Linked DNA regions of Macaca fascicularis. The protein of the gene in region 1 purifies or fractionates together with the protein of each later gene. This does not show direct contact. Links are inferred from orthologs where the notes say so. Each region holds a gene or a part of one and is shown in the gene's direction. Other genes may lie near its edges. The genes, in order: DDX5, RBMX and DHX9.

Region 1 (2,527 bases):
GTTTGTCCCCGTCTTCACCCCAAATAGTATTTGCTTCCTGCCATTGTCCACATCAATCATCAGCCATTCCTAGAGAGAGGCGATGGGCCCATTGTAAGTATATATTTTTAACTTTTTATTAGAAGTGTAATATATAGATTTTTAGACTACATAGCAAAAGATGTAATTATTTGTGGTGGTTTTATACAGAGGTTAGCTCACCCTATTCAGCTGGAGTTGCTTTGGGTATTGGACAACACATGAAGAAAGGATCTGCCATCATAACTAATAAGTTAATAGTTTAAAACTAGTATCCAGGTTTGTGCTGAAAGCTGTTTCTCTTTCCTTAGTGTTTGGTGCTGGCACCAACTCGGGAACTGGCCCAACAGGTGCAGCAAGTAGCTGCTGAATATTGTAGAGCATGTCGCTTGAAGTCTACTTGTATCTATGGTGGTGCTCCCAAGGGACCACAAATACGTGATTTGGAGAGAGGTCTGTAATGAAGAGAGTTTTATTTGTTATTGGTGCTAAATATTTTAGGTATTATAGTTACACTTACGTGTTTAATTAAAGGTGTGGAAATCTGTATTGCAACTCCTGGAAGACTGATTGACTTTTTAGAGTGTGGGAAAACCAATCTGAGAAGAACAACCTATCTTGTCCTTGATGAAGCAGACAGAATGCTTGATATGGGTTTTGAACCCCAAATAAGGAAGATTGTGGATCAAATAAGAGTAAGTGTCCTTTGAAATATGTGATCAAATTCAATTCTATTTTCACTTTTAGTCTGACACTAATTTTTCCCCCCAAAATCCATTAGCCTGATAGGCAAACTCTAATGTGGAGTGCGACTTGGCCAAAAGAAGTAAGACAGCTTGCTGAAGATTTCTTGAAAGACTATATCCATATAAACATTGGTGCACTTGAACTGAGTGCAAACCACAACATTCTTCAGATTGTGGATGTGTGTCATGACGTAGAAAAGGATGAAAAGTAAGTTTTATTAACTCTGTTATATTCGCTTCCTAACCTTGCTAAAATTGAGGGATCATTGTTATTTCAGTTGGTGTGATTTCGTTTAGTTAGCCTATTAATCCTTCTGAAAATATCTTGAATTCTTCAAATAATGATTATCACCGTTTATAGTTTTCCTATAGAAGGAATTCATGTGTCCCCTGGTTGACTTAAGGACCAAGGGTCGAACTACTACATAAGTGGGTTAGCAGGTGTTTCCTCTTTGACTTCCAGCCATGTAAATTGAACTTAATGTTTTGCTGACCATAAATGTGGGGCCCTACCAATGGTCTTTTAAAACTCAGGATTTTTCCTTTCTCTCTCCCATTATTAGACTTATTCGTTTAATGGAAGAGATCATGAGTGAGAAGGAGAATAAAACCATTGTTTTTGTGGAAACCAAAAGAAGATGTGATGAGCTTACCAGAAAAATGAGGAGAGATGGGTATGTGTGGGCTCCTCCATTGAAGCAGATTTTTTTGTAACTGAGCTTAGGAAAGGGCAAACTTGGATCAGGAGCAGTGGATATCTGATAATATAAGTGAATTTAATTCTTTTTAATTTCTGGTGAAATTAAAGAGATCTGTGACAAGACGTGGTTAAGCACTGGAGTCTGAGGTTTTCAATGTGAGTTTTATGATACAACTTGTCTTTTAGGTGGCCTGCCATGGGTATCCATGGTGACAAGAGTCAACAAGAGCGTGACTGGGTTCTAAATGGTAAATATTTCAAATGAAGTTTTTTTCCCCCCTTACTTAGCTAGAATTCTGCTCAGATAATTGATCATGTATATGCCTTCCTTTGTAGAATTCAAACATGGAAAAGCTCCTATTCTGATTGCTACAGATGTGGCCTCCAGAGGGCTAGGTTAGTACAAACTCGCATTCATGGCTTGGTTTCCCAGAAGATCTCCATTTAACTTTTTTAAAGAAAGTTTATTGCTTTCTTTAACCTCTGCATTTTTTCTAAGTTTTTTTCACATAAAGGTGCTGTCTTTGTGGCAAGGCCTAGGCATGACAATCGGAGGACTCGAGGGGGATGGAGGACTAGTGATCGGCTGGCTGCTTCCAGTCGATTAGAGAGGTGAAAAAGCTGAACGTGTGCCAGTAATCTTCAAAAGGCAGAACATATCACCTCTGCCCCGTAAACTGTTCTCTCCGAGGGAAAAAATGGAAGTTATCCTCACAGTTCACTGCCGTGGTATTTCTTCTGTCCCATGCTTTGCATGACTGCCATGGTACAGCCTTGTTTCAAACTGTTCACTGTGATCTGTGGGTCTTTGAGTTTCAGTGAGTTTGCTGAAATGTCGAAGAAATATTTCCAAACTTCAATGTTCAATGAAATTTTTGTTCAAGTTTGAAATGGAGAGAGCAGCTTTAAAAGGTACTAAGCCTTTTACAAATTGGTGAGTACTGGCACATGAGATCTAGAGCAGGAGCAACTTCTCACACATAGTCAGTGGGAAAAGAAAGTGCTTTGAAAGTTCCTCCCTCACCTACACAGTAGTCGTCATGTCGAGACCTGCCAGAGAGAG
Region 2 (2,698 bases), on another chromosome or scaffold:
TATCAAAGTGATTGCCAGTTGAAAGCATAGGAAGCATGTGAGATTATAGTGTTAAACCGTGGACAGTGTTACTTCTTGTCCAAGTAGTTTACTCTGTAGGAAAGGCATTTAAAAATTGATAAGCCAAGGTGTTGGACATGAAAATGAAATCATTTTTCTTTTATTTATTTATTTATTTTTTTTGAGATGGAGTCTTGCTCTTTCACCTAGGCTGGAGTGCAGTGGCGGGATCTCAGCTTACTGCAAGCTCCACCTCCCGGGTTTACGCCATTCTCCTGCCTCAGCCTCCTGAGTAGCTGGGACCACAGGCGCCCGCCACCTTGCCCGGCCAGTTTTTTGTATTTTTTAGTAGAAACGGGGTTCCACCGTGTTAGTCTCGATCTCCTGACCTCGTGATCCACCCGCCTCAGCCTCAGCCTCCCAAAGTGCTGGGATTACAGGCTTGAGCCACTGCGCCCAGCCCATTTTTATTTTTTAAAGTTAGCTGGGCATGGTGGTGGGCGCTTATAATCCCAGCTACTCAGGAGGCTGAGGCAGAAGAATCACTTGAACTCGGGAGGCGGAGGTTGCAGTGAGCCGAGATCGTGTCACTGTACTCTCCAGCCTGGGGGAACAGAGTGAGACTCCTCAAAAAAAAAAAAAGTTTAAGACTACCTTCAGTTCTTACTTCCCCAGTCTATATAACTGCACTGCATGTTCCATCAAGTACAAGTGAAACTAGACTAGCCAAATTAATAATGGTCATTTTTGTTCGTTCGTTTGTTTTTGGGAGACAGAGTTTAGCTCTTGTTGCGCAGGCTGGAGTGCAGTGGCACGATCTTGGCTCACAGCAGCCTCTGCCTCCCAGGTTTAAGTGATTGTCCTGCCTCCGCCTCCCGAGTAGCTGGGATTACAGGCATGCACCACCACACCTGGATTTTTGTATTTTTAGTAGAGACAGGATTTCACCATGTTACGCTGGTCTTGAACTCCTGGTCTCAGGTGATCTGCCTGCCTCGGCTGCTCAAAGTGCTGGGATTACAGGCCTGAGCCATTGTGCCCGGCCTAATGGTCATATTCTTCATGAAGCAAAGGAAATTTTGTAGTGGCCGAGTTTGGTGGTTCACGCCTGCAATCCCAGCACTTTGGGAGGCCGAGGCAGGAGGATCACAAGGTCAAGTTCGAGACCAGCCTGGCCAGCATGGTGAAATCCTGTATCTGCTAAAAAAAAAAAAATACAAATTACTTGGGCATGGTGGCGCACACCTGTAATCCCAGCTACTCGGGAGGCTAAGGCAGGAGAATTGCTTGAACCCAGGAGGCGGAGGTTACAGTGAGCTGAGATCCCGCCACTGCACTCCAGCCTGGGCGAGAGAGCGAGACTCCGTATCAAAAAAAAACTCTCATATCTTTCTTGATTCTTGTGAGTAGTAATATTTTTCTTTTCTATTCTTGATGTAGATGACGGTGGATATTCCATGAATTTTAACATGAGTTCTTCCAGGGGACCACTCCCAGTAAAAAGAGGACCACCACCAAGAAGTGGGGGTCCTCCTCCCAAGAGATCTGCACCTTCAGGACCAGTTCGCAGTAGCAGTGGAATGGGAGGGAGAGGTAAATGTTCCATGTATGACAATCTGTGCTACTACTGTAACAAAGAATTGAGAGGTAAATGATGCTTAAAAGTTTAATTGGCTGGGCGTGGTGTCTCATGCCTGTAATCCTAGCATTTTGGGAGGCCAAGGCAAGAGATTAGGACTATCCTGGCCAACGTGGTGAAACCCTGTCTCTACTAAAAAAATACAAAAATTAGCTGGGCATAGGGTGGGTGCCTGTAATCCCCGCTACTTGGGAGGCTGAGGCGGGAGAATTGCTGGAACCTGGGAGGCGGAGGTTGCAGGGAACCGAGATGATGCCACTGCACTCCAGCCTGGCAACAGAGAGACTCCGTCTCAAAACACACACACGCACGCGCACGCACACACCCCCCTAGCTTTATTCGTGGAGTCTGGGCGCGGTGGCTCACACCTGTAATGTTGGCACTTTGGTAGGCTGAGGTGGGCGGATCACGAGGCCCGGAGTTTGACGCTAGTCTGGCCAACATGGTGAAACTCTGTTTCTACTAAAAATACAAAAATTAGCCGGGCACGGTGGCGGGTGCCTGTAATCCCAGGTACTCTGGAGACTGAGGCGGGAGAATCACTCGAACCCAGAAGGCGGAGGTTGCAGTGAGCCGAGATCACAGGACTGCACTCCAGCCTGGGTGACAGAGCGAGACTCCATCTCAAAAAAAAAAAAAAAAAAACTTTTGGTCATGTGTTGTAGGTGATTTAGATAAATGGAATTAGCACTGAAAAAAATTTAAAATGTGAATCGGAAATTCTAGAAAAAATGAGATCTAGCCTCCGTAATGTCATCTTTGAAGTCAGTCTCGTTTTCATAGCCTGAATGTAAGTTCACGTTTTAACTTCTTTCTCTGACTGTGTTTAAAAAAAGTGATGTAATTTTCCTTAAGCTCCTGTATCACGTGGAAGAGATAGTTACGGAGGTCCACCTCGAAGGGAGCCACTGCCCTCTCGTAGAGATGTTTATTTGTCCCCAAGAGATGATGGGTATTCTACTAAAGACAGGTAATAGAAAATTGCAGCTTTTTAAATTAATAATTAAGGTTGAAGGAAAGCTTATCAAAAGCATGAACCAAAACTTTTGTGTTTGTAGC
Region 3 (3,659 bases), on another chromosome or scaffold:
TTTTTGTTATCAGTATCTTACCATAGATTTCTGATACAAAGCAGTGACGAATTCAGGAAAAGACAATGTGGGAGGCACAGAAATTGGGGGAGCCAGGACAGCATTGCTCTTTGTATGTCCTTTTATTTAAAGGCATAACAGACAGCAACACCAGAGGTCTGTGTTCATACACACATGTGCTGCTGCTTAGGCTGAACTAAGCAATCACATGGGAAACTATTGTAAACTGATTTCTGGTGTCGCTGTTCCCCCTAGGTGGAGGAGAATGAGATTGAGTGCTGACTTTAAGCCTGGCTGAGAAACATACTGGCATCGATGTCATTAATGAAAGGGTGGATGTTGTTCCCCTGAAAGCCAGTGGCCTTTGACCCCTGAAGCCGCTGTGCCTGAAGGTCAGTTCACACGAGGTATAGGAAGGAGTCTTAACATTTATTTTTTTCTTAAGCCTCACCCAGCCTTTTATTCACACCACCAAGTCTAGGTTAGAATGTATCTGAGCAGTGAAGGGACCAGAATGCATAGTTTTCAAAGGGCAGTTTTTCCCTTACTAAAACCTAAATTCATTTTTTAGACTCTGCTAGCAGTTTTAGATGTAATGTTACAACATGTGTTTTATTCTCCAGGACCTGATTTAAATAAATGTGATAAAAATAGGCTAAGTTTTTTGTCATCCAGGGCTGCTTCCAACTGCAGGCAGATGTGAGAACTCTGCCTCAGGAGCCATTGATTATGCACAAAGTGTATGTGCATGTGTGTTTGCGTATATTAGCTTAATAGATCGCAGTCATTACTGAGTGGCCTATGCAAAGGAATCTTACAATAATTATAACTGTAATGTAAAACATTTGGGGCCTGCTTTATTTCTTGGCTCCAAGCTAAGTGGAAAATTCCTTTTCATGGAATGTGTTGTAGCTCTTGAGACTCCAGCCTTTGGAATAAGAGTAAGTAAATATAAAATCTAATACCCTAACGTTTTCCTTTCATGAACAATTGGCTCATCAACTTTGATTATAGTTGTGTTATGCCATGTTGTATATTATATGAAGTTTATATACTTCATTTGTTCTAGGGTTGGGCAGAAATAAATGTTGGTAATTTTTTTTTTTTTCTGTGATTTGCCTAAGCAGTTGGAAAGCCTGCCTGACTTGGGAGACCTGGATTTGCCAGTTTCTAACAGTGAAATTTCTAACCTTGCTTGTATATGTTGTTACAGGAGCTTTATTGCAGAAATGACCATTTATATCAAGCAGCTGGGCAGAAGTAAGTGTTACTGTTACCCAATATTCCAAGTCTTTGTATAGAGAAGGAATCTTCACATTTAAGTCTTGAAATACAGAAGCTGTATTATTGAAAGAGCACGTGATATAAGATAGCATCTAGGGTATATATTAGAATATTAGTAATTATAAAGTAGAGGCAAAGTCTCCCAGTTTGCATGTGAAAACAGACCGTGTTAGTGTAGTATTTCAAAAGTAAGACACAGTGAGATGATTAGGAATCTGCCAGCGTCAAAGAATTTTAAACTTTTTTTTTTTTTTGAAATGGAGTCTTGCTCTGTCGCCCAGGCTAGAGTGCAGTGGCGTGATCTCGGTTCACTGCAAGCTCCGCCTCCCGGGTTCACCCCATTCTCCTGCCTCAGCCTCCCCAGTAGCTGGTACTACAGGCGCCAGTCACCACGCCCAGCTAATTATTTTGTATTTTTTAGTAGGGACAGGGTTTCGTCATGTTAGCCAGATGGTCTCGATCTCCTGACCTTGTGATCCGCCCGCCTCAGCCTCCCAAAGTGCTGGGATTACAGGGGTGAGCCACTGCGCCTGGCCTTAAAACATTTTTTCATTTTTATATATAAAATGAGTTATTTTGAGTGGATGGGTAATACTAAGGGAGAGAGGATAAAGGCGGGCTAACTTATGTCAGCTCACTTATCAAGGTTAATTTGGCTAGTTAGGCAGAAAGATATCTTTGTACCCCTTTGCTTTATATTCATCTCTCCTAAAGCTGAATGATACTGGAGGAGAGGAAACTTTCTATTAATATTTTCTTTAAGGATATGAGTAACTTAGCTTTAGTTTAATGCTGAAGTCAGCAAACTATATCCCTCTGGCCAAATCCAACTTACTGCCTGTTTTTATAAGAACTGTTTTATTGTGTAACATAGCTACACTCATATTTTAGACTTCACAGGTCACACGTTGTTATTTTCGTTTTATTTTTACAAATCCTGAAAACCGTAAAGCCATTCCCAGGCCTGTGGTTTGTCAAACTCTATTGTCAGTAAGTGCTTTCACACATTAAAGGCAGAGTTGAGTAGTTGTGACAAGAGACTCTATGGCCTGCAAAGCCTAAAATATTTATTATTTGACCCTTTATGGAAAAAGTTTCCCAAATCCTGGTCTAGTTAACCACTCTGGACCCAATTACTTTTACTGGTTTATTTTTTACTCTTTGTCTTTTCAAACTATGTTTTCTTCCCCTTTTTTAATGCCCGATGATCTTAACAGTGACAACTTTGTTGAAATAGATTATTTGCTTTCATAATATTGATTTGTATGAGTCCTAGTATCAGCCCGTAACCAAAACAGTTGGTTATTTAGTTGCTAAGCTGTTGGGCAATTTCTTTTGTTTAGCTAGAACCCATGGCATACACTGTATTTGAGAGCTTCTTGTGTACGTAAACCCATAGTTTCTTGTGATGTTTCTTCACTTAGGTGATTTCTTTCTGGTAATCCTGACCTTACATTACAGGGATTTTTGCACGAGAACATGGATCAAATAAGAAACTGGCAGCACAGTCCTGTGCCCTGTCACTTGTCAGACAACTCTACCATCTTGGAGTGGTTGAAGCTTACTCTGGACTTACAAAGAAGAAGGAAGGAGAGACAGTGAGTCTTTAGATTTAATAGACTTGTGAGATAGTGTAGGATTCAATTTAGCTCTTGTTTAGTATTTGGCTAAAGAAGTTTAATTTCAAGGAATCTTACCTCAGGGAATGAAAATGGTCCTGCTAATCATCTCTGTGTCTGGCATAATGTTCATAATAGGCAGTGAGTAAATAACCATTGAAGTAGTTCTTGCACTAAAGGGAACTGACTGTTGGTTTAGGAATATTGTAGACTTAGTATTGACTGTATAGTCTTAGCCCCATTGTAGTAGATTTGAGTAGTGTTGTTATGTGTGATCCTTTTTCCGTAGGTGGAGCCTTACAAAGTAAACCTCTCTCAAGATTTAGAGCATCAACTGCAAAACATCATTCAAGAGCTAAACCTTGAGATTTTGCCCCCGGTAAGCATAAAGCTATTTAGTTCACATTTGTGTAAAACACTCAGTAGACAAGCAAGTCATATTTTTTTTTTCTTATTTTTTAATAGCCTGAAGATCCTTCTGTGCCAGTTGCACTCAACATTGGCAAATTGGCTCAATTTGAACCATCTCAGCGACAAAACCAAGTGGGTGTGGTTCCTTGGTCACCTCCACAATCCAACTGGAATCCTTGGACTAGTAGCAACATTGATGAGGGGCCTCTGGCTTTTGTGAGTGTAATATTGTTTTTGAGATGAGACTCTTGTGTTTTACTCTTGACTATACTTCATTAGTATGTCTAGGTAAAAAATGGATTTATTTTGAAGCAGAATTACATGCTTTGTTTGACCATGTTGGCT

What was found.
Region 2: the proteins of DDX5 (region 1) and RBMX fractionate together in Homo sapiens (co-fractionation; 3 studies listed by BioGRID and IntAct, with this or other methods). This does not show direct contact. The link is inferred for Macaca fascicularis from reciprocal best matches to the Homo sapiens genes DDX5 and RBMX.
Region 3: the proteins of DDX5 (region 1) and DHX9 fractionate together in Homo sapiens (co-fractionation; 3 studies listed by BioGRID and IntAct, with this or other methods). This does not show direct contact. The link is inferred for Macaca fascicularis from reciprocal best matches to the Homo sapiens genes DDX5 and DHX9.

Annotation. Positions count from the first base shown.
Region 1 is NC_088390.1:71,093,550-71,096,076, reverse strand, and holds part of DDX5 (probable ATP-dependent RNA helicase DDX5), read left to right. Parts: intron 1-27; coding exon 28-93; intron 94-329; coding exon 330-471; intron 472-552; coding exon 553-713; intron 714-799; coding exon 800-972; intron 973-1,327; coding exon 1,328-1,438; intron 1,439-1,650; coding exon 1,651-1,712; intron 1,713-1,800; coding exon 1,801-1,860; intron 1,861-2,527. UniProt on the Homo sapiens protein: Involved in the alternative regulation of pre-mRNA splicing; its RNA helicase activity is necessary for increasing tau exon 10 inclusion and occurs in a RBM4-dependent manner. Binds to the tau pre-mRNA in the stem-loop region downstream of exon 10.
Region 2 is NC_088395.1:143,026,799-143,029,496, reverse strand, and holds part of RBMX (RNA-binding motif protein, X chromosome), read left to right. Parts: intron 1-1,440; coding exon 1,441-1,593; intron 1,594-2,494; coding exon 2,495-2,609; intron 2,610-2,697; coding exon 2,698-2,698.
Region 3 is NC_088375.1:40,389,916-40,393,574, forward strand, and holds part of DHX9 (ATP-dependent RNA helicase A), read left to right. Parts: intron 1-1,213; coding exon 1,214-1,260; intron 1,261-2,745; coding exon 2,746-2,882; intron 2,883-3,192; coding exon 3,193-3,282; intron 3,283-3,368; coding exon 3,369-3,530; intron 3,531-3,659. UniProt on the Homo sapiens protein: Multifunctional ATP-dependent nucleic acid helicase that unwinds DNA and RNA in a 3' to 5' direction and that plays important roles in many processes, such as DNA replication, transcriptional activation, post-transcriptional RNA regulation, mRNA translation and RNA-mediated gene silencing.